Linked DNA regions of Diceros bicornis minor. The protein of the gene in region 2 interacts with the protein of the main gene of each other region in a pairwise test. Links are inferred from orthologs where the notes say so. Each region holds a gene or a part of one and is shown on either strand. Other genes may lie near its edges.

What was found. The genes of interacting proteins can lie anywhere in the genome.
Region 1: the proteins of CARD9 (region 2) and MFAP1 interact in binary tests that used the Homo sapiens proteins (3 or more experiments, as listed by UniProt). The two-hybrid records come from large-scale screens. The link is inferred for Diceros bicornis minor from reciprocal best matches to the Homo sapiens genes CARD9 and MFAP1.

What each region holds. Positions count from the first base shown.
Region 1 is NC_080744.1:41,112,229-41,119,265, reverse strand, and holds the start of MFAP1 (microfibrillar-associated protein 1), read left to right. Parts: upstream 1-4,023; 5' UTR 4,024-4,143; coding exon 4,144-4,222; intron 4,223-7,037. Other genes in the region: WDR76 (WD repeat-containing protein 76), read right to left, coding at 926-1,336, 1,979-2,038. UniProt on the Homo sapiens protein: Involved in pre-mRNA splicing as a component of the spliceosome.
Region 2 is NC_080767.1:42,451,595-42,458,752, forward strand, and holds the start of CARD9 (caspase recruitment domain-containing protein 9), read left to right. Parts: upstream 1-4,228; coding exon 4,229-4,820; intron 4,821-4,924; exon of another isoform or gene 4,925-5,290; coding exon of another isoform or gene 5,291-5,420; intron 5,421-5,605; coding exon 5,606-5,910; intron 5,911-6,063; coding exon 6,064-6,243; intron 6,244-6,338; coding exon 6,339-6,482; intron 6,483-6,816; coding exon 6,817-6,942; intron 6,943-7,158. UniProt on the Homo sapiens protein: Adapter protein that plays a key role in innate immune response against fungi by forming signaling complexes downstream of C-type lectin receptors.

The sequences.
Region 1 (7,037 bases), on a different chromosome or scaffold from region 2:
TTTAACAAGCCCTCCAGGTAATTCTAATACAAGCTAAAGTTTGAGAACCACTGATCTTATCCAATTCCCTCACCGTAGAGGTGACTAGCTTAAAGGCACAAGGTTTCTTAGAAGTGGCCATGCCTAAAACCTAGGCTTCCAATGCATTTATGACTTACCACACACTGTGCCACCACAGGTGCTAATCCTTACCTCTGGGACAATAAAGCATAAACTGAATTCCTATTTCATAATACCACCACCTCAATTATCCTATCTCCCTTTCCCTACCATCATTTTCTGTTCCCCTAGTTCCATCAACCTTTTTGTCATGTGGTAGGGTTTTATCTTGTCTTGCATAAAATTTGTCACTTTAAATGAAGTACAACACTCCTGGTAGGCAATCGAAGCCAAAGGAGTTAGATGCCTAATTCCCTAAACTGATTCTATTATTTTAAACAGAACTAATAAGTGTTTCTCGTGTATCTTCTCTACTCCATCATTTGTCTCCTTTTTGTATTTAATGGAAATATTATTCAGCACATCAATGCAATCAATTAATGATGATTTTCCTACCCTGACATCAAGGGTCACTCAAATGCCATATGTCCCACAGGCCAACTTCTGGTATATTGTGCATAAATACGTAAAGGTAAGCAAGATACCATAAAGTATGCGTAAACTCAAAAATATATGCAATAAACCAAGAGGAAGAAAAAGGGAAGCAGAGTGAAAATTAAGTTAATCCTTTCCTTGACAAATCAAAACCAAGAGCAAAATTAACTCAACAAAGTTATCTGTTAAACATTTAAAAAATTTTTCAATTAAACATAAATTAGATAAAACAATCTGCTTGAGCTAGAGAGACCTCTGATAACCTTCACTTACCAGAACTTCAAATTTTAAACTAAGAAAAATTTGAATAAGCTGGTATTTAAATTCTTACCAGGCCTGGTGTGGTATCTTCATCACTGTCTCCATCCTGACTGCTTTCCATATCAACACTGAGAATCACTGTATCTGAAGTGCTCTTGTGTCCTTGCTTGTTACTTTCAGTATGAACATCTAAGGATGATTTTTGCAGAGTGGATTCTGCCTTGGAAGATGTGGCTTCCATCTTTGGAGTTAAAATTCTTCTGCAAGTTTTCTTTATTTCAATCTTCTTACATTTCTTACACGCCACTTCATTGTTAGAATTCTTATCTAAGAGGGATTTGGGGCACTTAAGTTGGTCTGGTTTGTAATTACTGAGTGAAAAGGGGACAAGACACACCTTAGCTGTTTTTCCTAAAACTGTAGTCTGTACTGGCCTTGGAGATACAAAATCAATGTTTTGGTTTTCTTTATATTCATTCACCTGTTCAGGTCAATAAAGGAAAATGGAGAGTGTTAGAATCCCAGATCCTATGTCTTTTCTTACAGATCTGTGTAAATAAATCTCATTCCTATTTCATAATAACAACATAAATCCAAACTGATAGCCTGTAAGGAAACTTTTTTCCTCCAAAACCTAGATACTTAATTCATTAACCTGAATAGAATTATTTATTATACTGGGCACATTTCTTGCCCATATGAGTCTGCCAGACCAATAATAATAATGACTACAATTTGTATCTAAGGTGACTCTACCCCAACTGTCAGCTTCTGAGTAAATGGAATTGTTTCAAGAGTAGGAAGCTGACACTAACTGCTGCAAAAGCAAATGCAGAGTCCCTGATCCCATCCTGCCACTATTTCTGGGGTTACTGACAAGAACCTTCCTCAATGCCGCAGCCTACTCTCACAGAGGAAACCAGGGCAGGGATCCCCGCTTATCTTTTGAAGCAACACCCCGAAAAACTCTTTAAGCTGAGGGATGCCCCAAGCGGCGGGAAATCGTTTTGGAGTGAGGAGGTGCCGGGTGCCAAGTCCTGGTGCCCTCCCGGGCCTGTGCCCGGAAGATCCCTCTCGAAGACTGAGTCAGGAGCACACCCGAAAGCGACAAGCCCTTTCTCACCTTCACCTGGAGTCGCTGTCTGGAGCCAGCCTTCTCAGCCACCGCGCGCGACCCGGACATCTTTCCGCCGCTTAACAGCTGGCGTCTTCCCGCCAAGATTGCGGCGGGAGGCGGGGGTGGGAGGGAGTGGGAGGGGCGGAGCCCGGGCGGCGCCGGCGGGCGCTCAGATCCCAGCTGGCCGGGGGGGAGGGGCGACACGGGCGTTACCGTCGTCCCTTAAGGAGCCAAGCCTACCAGCCTCACCCCCAACTCAAATTCTTGAGGGACGCGATGGGACCGAATCGACATTTTTACCTTGGATGCCGGTGATTTTGATGTTGCTGACGCCAGTATCTCACTTTGAAAAACACTGGCGCTTCTGCTGAGGATAAGCCACCTTGCCTTACAACGTGAGGCTGGAAAAGATTCAGACGCACTTAGATGCCGGATAGAGAGCAAAGGAAATCGCAATCAACATGCAGCCCTTACCTCGGCCCCCTGGTTCCTTATACCACCACCAGGAAATTAGGCCCCATGGCTACCACATTATCTTATTCCTAGGAAGGGAAGTTTTTTTTAGTTTTTTTTCAAGAGCTGATAACTTAAGCTAGTTTAAATTTCACCTGATCATCTGTCCACCAGTTAACTAAGATCCTAATGAGGACCTTACAAAGCCCAAAGGCTAGGGAAAAGTTGTGAATCAAATAATTTTTGTATCACAAAGTAACATAAGATTTTAGTGCACTGTATTTCTTATAGTCGCAGCGATATTAAATTTTTTTTTCTATTCTCTGGGTTGCTGTGAGCCAAAACAATTGCCTTCCCATCACACTCCCTCTGGACAGCATAGTTTTGGAGCTGATAAATTCATAATATAAATTTCTATCTACTTTATTTTTAAGGTCCTTTTCTTTCTAGCCCAAAACTGCTCCCTTGGTTGGTTATCTGAGTCCTCCACTGTTCCTTTTATTTCTTCTGCCAGCCTAGGCTCAAGTTGAGAACACAAGTGAAATAATTTGAGAACTAATCCTATTAACAGCACCTTCAAGGCCCTACTTGATCTGGTACCTGCCAAACTTTCACCACTCCTTGACTCAAAAATTACTGATAAAATCACACTTTTCATGGTGTCTGATATATACGCTATTTCTGGACTTCAAGACTTTGCTCATGCTGTCCCTTCCCTCCCAACCATAGCAGTTTTAAAATCCCTTCTACAGTGAAATGTGTTCTGACTTCTAATTAGCCAATTTTTTTTATATAACCGAGCTAGTAATTGCGATTGCTTCTATTATGATTCTATAAGCCCTTGAAGACTTCCTAAATTAAATTAAAGCTTCTTGAGGATACGAGCCTTTTAACAATATTCGTTACTGCTTACAGAGAGCTAAGCACAGTTAACACAGCAAGTACTTAATAATTACTCAAAGACTTATATACAAACACTTCCCAGCCAGGAATATATTTTAAAAGGTGGTCTCCAGAAGCGGAAAGAACCAGAAAGCCTAAAAGTAGAATGTTCGGATTTCAGGCGTTGACTCAGGCCCCCTGGGGGATTTTTTTTCTTTCTTTCTTTCTTTCTTTCTTTTTTGCCACTGGCCTAAATCACCGCGACCTGCCCTCGCGTGACCAAAAAGTACCGCACCAAAACCCACTCAGCCTCATCAGCTAAATTAATCAGACACTATTAGCAGGATTTCTATTCCGATTAAACTCTAATTCTGAGCTTTCTACAGTCTGGACAAACTGCCCTTCACTATCTCCTCAGTGTCTTATTCATCACTATCCCATTTTCCTCGGCTTCAAACCAAGCTAACAAGCGAAACCTTTCATTCGGACCTTCCTCGCCGCAGGGTCTTAACCGCAAAGCCCAACCGAAGCAATTTCCCGCCACAACCGACGTCCAAATATGTACTTCCAGACTGAGGACGCTAGGGCAGCCTATGAACATGCGCAGTAACAGACTCGGTGTTCTAGCGGTAGTCGCCCAGAGGTCCTCCACAATCCCACAATCCTCTGGTCGCATATTTCCGGTTTTTCTAGCCCAGCCGTAAGTGGCGTTTCTATCAGTCCCGCAGCCGTGTCTAGCGGCTCTAGGCTGGGAGGTGTTTTCTGTTCGTTGACGTTGAAGCTGTTCGCTGTTTGGAATCAGTAAAGTTTCGGGAGTCACCGCTGCTGTCGTCAACATGTCGGTCCCAAGCGCACTCATGAAACAACCGCCCATTCAGTCTACGGCTGGGGCCGTCCCGGTTCGCAATGAGAAAGGTACTGTGCTGAGCCGTTTTCCAGTCGGGTCTTGCCTCTTCCTTCCTCAGCGTACTCCAAACCTACCCCGGGCCGACCACCCCAACCCCACCGACCCTTAAGACCCTGCCCCCTATTTCTTCGACTTTCCCCGTCACACTCGCACCCGATCACGTTGCCTAGGGTAAAGAAAACCCACTTCCATCTCATCTTGTTCCTATAGCCTGTCTGCCCTCACCTACAGCAAGCACCTATCTTCCCTTGGCCTCCACCAATTCGTTAGACTAACATATATAGTGAATGCCTGTTGTTTGCAGGGATTTGTGCGGGATACAGTCCCTCTTTTTTTTTATCCATAGCAGTCTGTTTATGCTGCTTTTATAACTCATCGTTATAATTATTTATGTATCTGTCTCTCGTACATCATAAGCTCATAACCTCCTTGAGGCAGGAACTATGTCTTATTAAACTTTTTATCCCTGTCAGCCAAGGCAGTGACTGTATTTATTAAATTGAATACAAAGTTGTGTAGGACAGTCCCCCTAACCTTAAGGAACTCGTATTCTAATAGATGTGAGACATGCAAAAAGAGGCACATTCTAAACAGTGTACAGTCTTTCACACCTGTAATACCTGTCACTAGGTGATATAAACCAAATACTGTGGGAGGGCAGAGGAGGAATAATCTCTTCAGATTGGGGTAATCAAGGAAAGCTTGAAAGAAAGGTGGCATTTAAGTTGATCCTTAAAGGACAGATAGGATTCCAATGAGTGCAGATGGAAGAAGGAACACCGTTTCTGTTTGAGGAGTCAGAATAAAGAGTCAGGATTTTTTCATTAAGGGTTTTGGAAAATAATAACAGTTCTTACTTTTGTGTTTTTTGAATATACTGAACCCATCCTTGTGCAGCTTGCCTTTTTTTTTTCTTTTAACTCAGCATGGCGTTTGAGAAGTATCCTTTGGATACATATGGATCCAGTTCATTCAGTTTAATTGCTTATAAATTCCATTGTATAATTAAACCACAGTTTATTCCCTACTGAGGGACAGTTGTGTTGTTTTTTCTCCTATTACAAACATGCTGCAATTGTCATTCTTAAATGTGTCTCTTTAGTGCACTTGTATAAGAATTTCTCTAGGGTAGACTCCTAGAAGTTCATCTTCAATTTGTTGCCAGTTGCTCTCCACAGTGGATTGTAAGAGCATTAGGAGTTTTTATTTCTCCATGTGTTTATCCACACCCTTGGTTATATCAGATTTTTTAATTTTTGCCCAGTCTAATGAGTGTGTAACGATATCTCATTATTTTAATTTACATTTCCCTGATTTCTAGTGGGACTAGGCATCTTGTTCGTGCGTTTATCCACTCTCTGGGTTTTCTCTTCTATGAATTACCTGTTTCTGTCATTTACCTGTTTTCTATTTGTTTCGTTTTTTTTTTTTTTTTTTTTTTTTTTTTTTTGTGAGGAGATCAGCCCTGAGCTAACATCCGCCAATTCTCCTCTTTTTTTTTGCTGAGGAAGACGGCCCTGGGCTAACATCTGTGCCTATCTTCCTCCACTTTATATGGGACGCCGCCACAGCATGGCTTACCAAGCAGTGCGTCGGTGCGCGCCCGGGATCCGAACCAGCGAACCCCGGGCCGCCGCAGCGGAGCGCGCGCACTTAACCGCTTGCGCCACCGGGCCGGCCCCTTTGTTTCGTTTTTATACATCCTAAATCTGTAATATCTATTTCCCCAGGTTTTTTGGCTTGTTTTTTAACTTTAGTTATGGAGTCTTCTGTTACACAGGCATTTTTAGTTTAGTGTTATCACATTTATCAATTTTATCTTTTATGGTGTGTGCTGTTTTGTATACTGTTTAAGAAGTCCTTCCCTACACTGAGATCATAGACATTCAGTTTTCTATCGTCTGAATGTTTGTATATACTAAGTAGGATTGAATACACAATTGTGCAAGACAGACTAAGTTAAGGAGCTTACAGTCCAGTAGGGATGTAAATGTTTAAGATAGGTTTTTCACACTTCAGCCTTTAATCTATCTGGAATTTTTTGTGTGTATGGTGTCAGTTAGAGATCTAATTTTACCTTATTATCTTAGAGTTAGCCAGTTGTTCCTACTACTCCATTGTTTGACTAGCCTATCCATTCTCCATTGCTTTTTTTTTTTTTAAGATTTTATTTATTTCTTTATTTTCCCCCCAAAGCCCCAGTAGATAGTTGTATGTCGTAGCTGCACATCCTTCTAGTTGCTGTATGTGGGACGCGGCCTCAGCATGGCCAGAGAAGCGGTGTGTCGCTGCGCACCCGGGATCCGAACCCGGGCCGCCAGCAGCGGAGCGTGCGCACTTAACCGCTAAGCCACCAGGCCGGCCCTCCATTGCTTTTTAATGTCACTTCTGTAATATAGCAAGTTCTCATATAGGTTGTTTCTCTGGTCTCTACTTTGTTCCATTGGTCTCTATGTACCCCGAGTCAATGACATATTGTTTTAATTCCTGTGAATTTAAATAAGCCTTGCAATCTGATACAAAAACCCTCCCCCCCACCTCACATTCTTATTCTTTTTTTTGTTACAACTTTATTTTTTTAGAGCAGTTTTAGGTTCACAGCAAAATCGAAGGGAAGGTACAGAGATTTCCCATATACTCCCTACCCCCATACATGCATAGCCTCCCCTATTATCAACATCCCCCACCAGAGTGATACATTTGTTACAATTAATGAACCTACATTAACACATCATAATCACCCAAAGTCCATAGATTACATTAAGAATCACTCTTGGTGGTGTACATTCTGTGGGTTTGGACAAATATATAATGACATATATC
Region 2 (7,158 bases):
CCCTGCTGGGCGGCTCCAGGCCAGCACCGCCTGCCTCTGCACGGCGTTCCTTTGGCTTGAGACCAAGTCCAGCACCCTCGGCGCTCCCACCTCAAGGACTAGGCCTCAAGTTTCCGTTACAGCCATCGAGGCACTCGGCTCCCGGGGCTTCGTTCTCCTTGCTTCCTGCTCCACTTGGTTTCACTTATTATGGAAAGTTCCCAACATACAGAAATAGAGCAAGTGTGCCCAGCACATGTCCTGGCCTGGCCTCAACAGCAGTCACCGGGGCCGCCCGTCCCCTCTCCCCACCCAGACGTCACAGGTCACGCCTGCCACGGGCTGACTCAGTCTCCTGTGTGCATGGTCTTGGTTTTTGCTTTGTGCCCAGTACTTGGTTAACTAATTTCTAGTTTTCCTTGTGACTTCATCTGACTGATGGGTTATTTTGTCAGTGCCGTGGAGTGGATTCCGGCTCCTAGACCCCGTGGACAGCAGAGGGAAGCCTGCCCTGTCTTTCTGCGCCATCTCCTCCCCTTCTGCCACGTCAGACAATGCTCCGCTGCTATGCACAGGCTTTCCGATGTTTCTACGTGGGTGGCCAGGTCCTTCTTCCTAGTCTATCTAGTCGGGAAGCTCTGCTGACACCCGTCCACTGTGGTGACCTTGCTGGTAACGGGTTACTGAGATGTTTGTTATTTAACGTCCAAATATCAAGGGATCTTCCAGATATCTTTCTGTTACTGATTTGATTTTTTTTTTTTTTTTTTTTTTTTTTTGTGAGGAGATCAGCCCTGTGCTAACATCCGCCAATCCTCCTCTTTTTTTGCTGAGGAAGACGGCCCTGGGCTAACATCTGTGCCTATCTTCCTCCACTTTATATGGGACGCCGCCACAGCATGGCTTACCAAGCAGTGCGTCGGTGCGCGCCCGGGATCCGAACCAGCGAACCCCGGGCCGCCGCAGCGGAGCGCGCGCACTTAACCGCTTGCGCCACCGGGCCGGCCCCTGATTTGATTTTTTTTTTTTATAATTTTTATTTATTTATTTTTATTTCCCCCAAAGCCCCAGTAGATAGTTGTACGTCATAGTTGCACATCCTTCTAGTTGCTGTATGTGGGACACGGCCTCAGCATGGCCGGAGAAGTGGTGCCTCGGTGCGCGCCCGGGATCCGAACCCCGGGCTGCCAGCAGCAGAGCGCGCGCACTTAACCGCTAAGCCACGGGGCTGGCCCTCTGTTACTGATTTCTAGCTTAATTCTGATGTAATCTGAGAACACACGTTTTTATTTAATTCTTAAACACACGCCATGAGGAAGACACCTTGATCGGCCTTGTTTACCGAGCGGGGAAGTGTTGGGTCGTCGAGGGCCCAGCAGTGGCCGATCCATCACGTGAGAGCAGAGCTGCAGCCCGGGCCCCTCCCTGCTCGCCTAGCCCGGGGCATGAGCCCCCAGAACGCGTTCCCCCAGGGTCCTCCGGACTGCTCCCTGCTAGAGGGTGACATTGGGCCTCTGTCTTCTCGGAGCCTGCAGGAAGGCCAGGCCGCCTCCACGACTTACCCTGCCTGGTTGTGCCAGGACTCCTGAGGTTTCGGCCGACCAGGTGACCGCTGTGGGCCAGGGGCAGAGGAAAGCCCAGGGACTGAGGACCGAGCCCGACAGGAAGGGAGCCGGTTAGGCGAGAGGCAGCTGCCTCGGAAGGCGGAGCCAGGGCACGGGCAGGCCCTGCCCGCCCGTCCAGCTGCAGCTCCTTCCCGGAGCTGTTGCCTCATCCAGCAGGGCAGGTGGCAACTCGGCTCAACTGCTACGGCTACACCGGCGAGGCAGGGGCTGGGAGAGGCCACGTAGTCCACGGAGGACTGCTGCCATGACCATGGGCCGGAGCCTTGTCCTGCAGTCAACTGCCATTCTGACACCGGCTTGTGGGACTGCAGGCAGTGGCCTCGGAGTCCCGGGAGCCTGCTGTCACTGTCCCACGTGTCCTAGTGGAGAGGGCTGCAGAGTGGGGATGCTCCCAGGAAGGGAGGAGGATGTGCTAGCTGCAGTGGGCTGGCGGCCAAGTGAGGCAAATGTGGCCGGGGCCTGTGGCCTCTTGCAGGTGGCAGGGGCCTCCCCAGCCCCATGCCCTTTTTGGACACCACACTGCAGTCCTTAGGCGTCTGGGCCAAAGCAGACTGGATGGTGGATCAGCCACACCCAGCCCCTGGGTGGGCCTTCGCCCGCACTTCCACTGTGCAGGGTGCCGGGGCTGGGCCCCCAGGGCAGGCCCGGGACCTTGGCCGCCAGGCAGGCTGGGAGGGCTCCCAGCAGCTTTCCTCTGAGAGCAGACGACTTCCACTTCCCTCTGCCCCGCCTCCTGGGCCGCCCTGGCTGGGCGAATCAGAAGGCAGCCACCAGGGACTGTCCCCCTGCGGGAGGACCGGCTGGGCCTCTGTGGAGTTGCCCAGAACCATCAGGAAGTGCACAGGCGTCCCGCTGGGCTCCACCCTCCCTCAGGCCCCTGGCCGCCAGCAGCACCTCCTGTTGCTCATTGATCGGGGTGGCCCAGGCTGACCAGCGTCCAGCTGTGTGGGTGCCCCCTCGAGGACCCTGAGGTAGGCTGGTCTGGGGCCCTTTCTGAAAGGTGATTGGGAAGGTGCCGTGGCTCTCTGCTCAGGGCTGCTGGGGCAGGGAGCCGGGTCCTGGAGCAAATAGCCCAGAAGGGTACCCAGTGGCCTCAACTCTTCTGCCCTGTCCCTCTTCACGGCCACTGAGACCTGCTTGTTCATCTCAGTGGAATTAACAGCGGGGCATCAGACGTGGGACCCGTGGCTTTTAGGCTAGAAAGGCGGGAATGGGCCGAAAGTTCCCAGGACCGTCCACCGGGTTGCTGGTATCTTTATTCCACACCTTGTCTGTTGCTGGGCTGGATGGGAAGGCCAAGCTCTGTGGGAAGTGGGAGGACCTCCTCCAGAGACCAGGCCTTCTGTCACCCACATCTCTAGGATGTGGTCTAGCTCCTGTGGGCTAGAAACCAGAGTTTCCAACACAGCTGAAGGCTCTGTCTGAGGTGGCCGAGTCAGGGTCTCCGTCCCCACCACCCAGAGGAGGCACGACCACCTGGCTTGGCCCAGCCCCGGAGAGAGTGATTTCTCGCCTGCTGGTGGAAGGCAGCAGCAGTGGCTGGTCCCAATGTAGGTGGTCCCCTCGTCAGAAGGCCAGCGTGCCAGTCCCCCAGAGTGTGACCAAGAGCAGGCCTCATCTGAGAGGTGGGAGAGGAGCCAGAGACGGCTGGGTCCCAGGACCTGAGAGCCCGGAGGAGGCGCCCAAGCAGCATTCCAGGCTGGCCGTGGGCGACACAGCCAGGCCTTCCCCTAGTGCCCAGGCCCTGGCCCTCCTGTGGGCGGTCAGTCACCCTTCCCGAAAGGCACAGTGTCGCTGAGCCTGACTCGGAGCAGGCCAGCTCCAGGCAGCTGCTGGGAGGCTGTTGCACCACCAGCCGGCCACGGAAAGAGAGGAGGGGCTGGGGCGGGGACCTGAGCAGACGCTAAGTTGGGAAATGAGGAAGCCCCAGACAGCATGGTCCAGCATTGCGCAGGTGGGAGGTCACTTGCCTCGTGCCTCTCGCCCCAGCCTGGGCACTGGCCGGCCAGGGAGGTCGTGCCAGCGGGTGGCAGCAGCACAAATGGCTCCTCCTGCCCCACAGGTGGGAGGTGGCCATCCCTGCCAGCCCCACGACACTTGGGGGTCTCCCGGGGCGGGCAGAGGCCAGAGGAGAGCCATGGTGCAGGGGATGTTCCTGCCCCTGGAGCATCTCCACACCTTCCCCCGTACTCACCAGGGTGACTCGGGAGAGAGAAAGCCCAGGGTGGCCCAGGGGGCGGGAGCAGGGCCCAGGTGAGGCCGAGGGCCACCCAGTGAGCAGATGGGCAGCAGGGTCCCTGCGCAGCTGCTGCTTCCCTCTCTAGGTCGCCGAGATGGGAGGGCAGGGCCTGAGGCAGCACACCTCTCTCCCGAACACCCCTGGGCTGAGTTCCTGGCTGGGCTCCTCGGTGGCGGGCCTGGGGCCTAGCTCAGCTGACAGCTCAGCGAGTGGTGTCCCTCCCAGCCGCCCTCCCCGACTCTGGCCGACCCTGCCATGTCGGACTATGAGAACGAGGAGGAGTGCTGGAGCGCCCTGGAGGGCTTCCGGGTGAAGCTCATCTCCGTCATCGACCCCTCGCGCATCACGCCCTACCTGAGGCAGTGCAAGGTCCTGAACCCCGACGATGAGGAGCAGGTGCTCAGCGACCCCAACCTGGTCATCCGCAAGCGCAAAGTGGGTCAGTGCTGCCCCGCCCCCGAGCTGGCTAGGAGCCTGCCCAGAGGCCGCTGTGGGCTTTGTCCCCTACCCTTGTCCCCAGGAGGCCGAGCCCCATGCAGCCCCACGGAGTGCACCCCAACCCCAACTGCAAGCACGTGGACGAAACCCCCGGCACCCCTGCACCCGTCCTGTTTGCCGGGGGCCGTGGTGCTTCCATGCACTGCTGAGGCCTCTGGGAGAGCCAAGGGGTGGCGGGTGGCACTTGGACCCCGGCCTGCAGCGGCTGTCCACGTCCCAGACCCATTTGGCTGCGGCCAGACCTGGCGGGGGCCGCACAGCCTTGTCCCCCGGCCCAGAGCACCCATGCACGTCCCGGGACGCTGAGGCCCGGGCGCCAGCCAGGCCTCTCTGGGTGGCAGGCGTGCTCCTGGACATCCTGCAGCGGACCGGCCACAAGGGCTACGTGGCCTTCCTCGAGAGCCTGGAGCTCTACTACCCCCAGCTCTACAAGAAGGTCACGGGCAAGGAGCCCACCCGTGTCTTCTCCATGATCATCGGTGAGGAACGGGACACCGGGCATGGGGGTGGGGGACGTGGGGGGCACAGGGCCAGGATGGAGGGGTGGGGTCGGCATGGGGCAGAGCCAGACATGTTGGGAGGGCAGTGGCATGGGGACAGGGCAGCAGGCACCTCCCCATCGGGTCTCCCGACCGGGTAAATTGGGATCAAGGAAAGTGAGTGAGCTGCTCGTGGGCAGGGTGCCGGCGTGGGAGCGGGGCTGGTCATCGCTCCCGTCCCGCTCTCCTCTCCGAACACTCGCGGAGGGAGCAGCGGCCCAAGAAAAGGGGGACCAGACCTCTCGGGGAGCAGCAGGTCGGAGGCGTGTGCAGGTGCACAGGCTGACTCACAGATCGGAGCCCCTCCTGCCCAGAAAACCATCCCACCTGCAAAGCCCCTGTCCCTGCCCTGGGCCACAGACACTGCCCCTGAGAGGGCGGGGCCTGCCACTCCCAGGAATGGCGAAGCAATGCTCTCCTGGCCCCGGACTCGCGTCCTCTTGCCTCTCAATCAAGATGATAAGATCAGACAAAGGGAGACAGGTGCCTGGCCCTGGCTGTCCCCTGTCCTGGACGGGCATCGGGACAGGGGCCGGGGAGGTGAGTGAGCATCTCAGTCCATTTCCTCGACGAGAAGCAGCAGCCACTTGGACTTGACCCCTTGGCCGGGCTCCGCATTCCCTGGAGCCACGCGTTGCTGCTCCTCCAGTGCAGGGCCCTGGGAGGCGGTGGGGCAGGGTGGCCGTGGGGGACAGGCGACAGTCTGACGCTGGCCCCGTCTACAGACGCGTCCGGGGAGTCGGGCCTGACGCAGCTGCTGATGAGCGAGGTGATGAAGCTGCAGAAGAAGGTGCAGGACCTGACGGCGCTGCTGAGCTCCAAGGACGACTTCATCAAGGAGCTGCGGGTGAAGGACAGCCTGCTGCGCAAGCACCAGGAGCGCGTGCAGCGTCTCAAGGAGGAGTGTGAGGCCGGCGGCCGGGAGCTCAAGCGCTGCAAGGAGGAGAACTACGACCTGGCCCTGCGCCTGGCCCGCCAGAGCGAGGAGAAGGGCGCCGCGCTCATGCGCAACCGCGACCTGCAGCTGGAGGTGCCCTCCGGTCCACGGGGCGCGGGGGTGGGCCCGTGGCGGTGTCCTGGGCGAGTCGCGTGGCCCCGAGCCTCCGTCCTGCAGAGAGGGCCTGGCAGGCGTCGAGGGCCAGGCAGTGGGTGAGGCCGCCGCGCTGACGGGGTTGTCCCGCAGATCGACCGGCTCCGGCACAGCCTCATGAAGGCGGAGGACGACTGCAAGGTGGAGCGCAAGCACACGCTGAAGCTCAGGCACGCCATGGAGCAGCGGCCCAGCCAGGAGCTGCTGTGGGAGCTGCAGCAGGAGAAGGCCCTGCTGCAGGCCCGGGTGCAGGAGCTGGAGGCCTCCGTCCAGGTGGGGCCTGCGGGGCGGGCGCCGGGGCAGGTGGGCCGTGGGCCTCCCCCAGCAAGGTCGCTGCCCTGCTGCCCTCTCCCCTTCGCCACCCGCAGGCTGGGAAGCCAGAGAAGAGCAGCCCCTACATCCAGGTGCTGGAGGAGGACTGGAGGCAGGCGCTGCAGGACCACCAGGAGCAGGCCAGCACCATCTTCTCCCTGCGCAAGGACCTGCGCCAGGCCGAGGCCCTGCGCACCCGGGTACGCAGCGGGGGCAGGTGGACACCGCGCCTGGGGCCAGGCTGGCTGCGTGGGCTGAGGGACTGCCCTGTGCCCACGCAGTGCCTGGAACCGGGGGGCTCTCAGCTCTCAGCTCAGTCCCTACTGCACCCCGTTCTGGAGGCGTAGGGCCGGCCTTCTCACCCACTCCTGCCCTCACTCCCCCAGGGCAGTCAGGGCCAGCCTTGGTCTGGAAGCTCAGGGCTGGCAGGGACCTAGGGGCTCAGGCAGCCTCCCCCTCGTCCCAGCCGGGCCTGACCGGGGGCCAGAACAGGGGCCACGGGCGGTGGGGCTAGCTAGCTGCCGTCTCCCGCAGTGCATGGAGGAGAAGGAGATGTTCGAGCTGCAGTGCCAGGCCCTGCGGAAGGACTCCAAGATGTACAAGGACCGCATCGAGGCCATCCTGCAGCAGATGGAGGAGGTCGCCATCGAGCGGGACCAGGTAGGCGCCTCGCCGCCCGCCCGCCGGCAAAGAACAGCCTGCACTGGGTGAGGGAGTAGGAGGGGCGGTCCCCACGTTTGTGTGGGCTGCCAACGAGCCCTTTAGGGGCCGTTGTCAAAGTGGTCTTTGAATGACAGAAGCAGTACGTGCTCATTTAGAAATGTGAGCAGTAATGAAGTTGATCCCCAACCCACCTCCACCCCAGCCCCCTGCCCG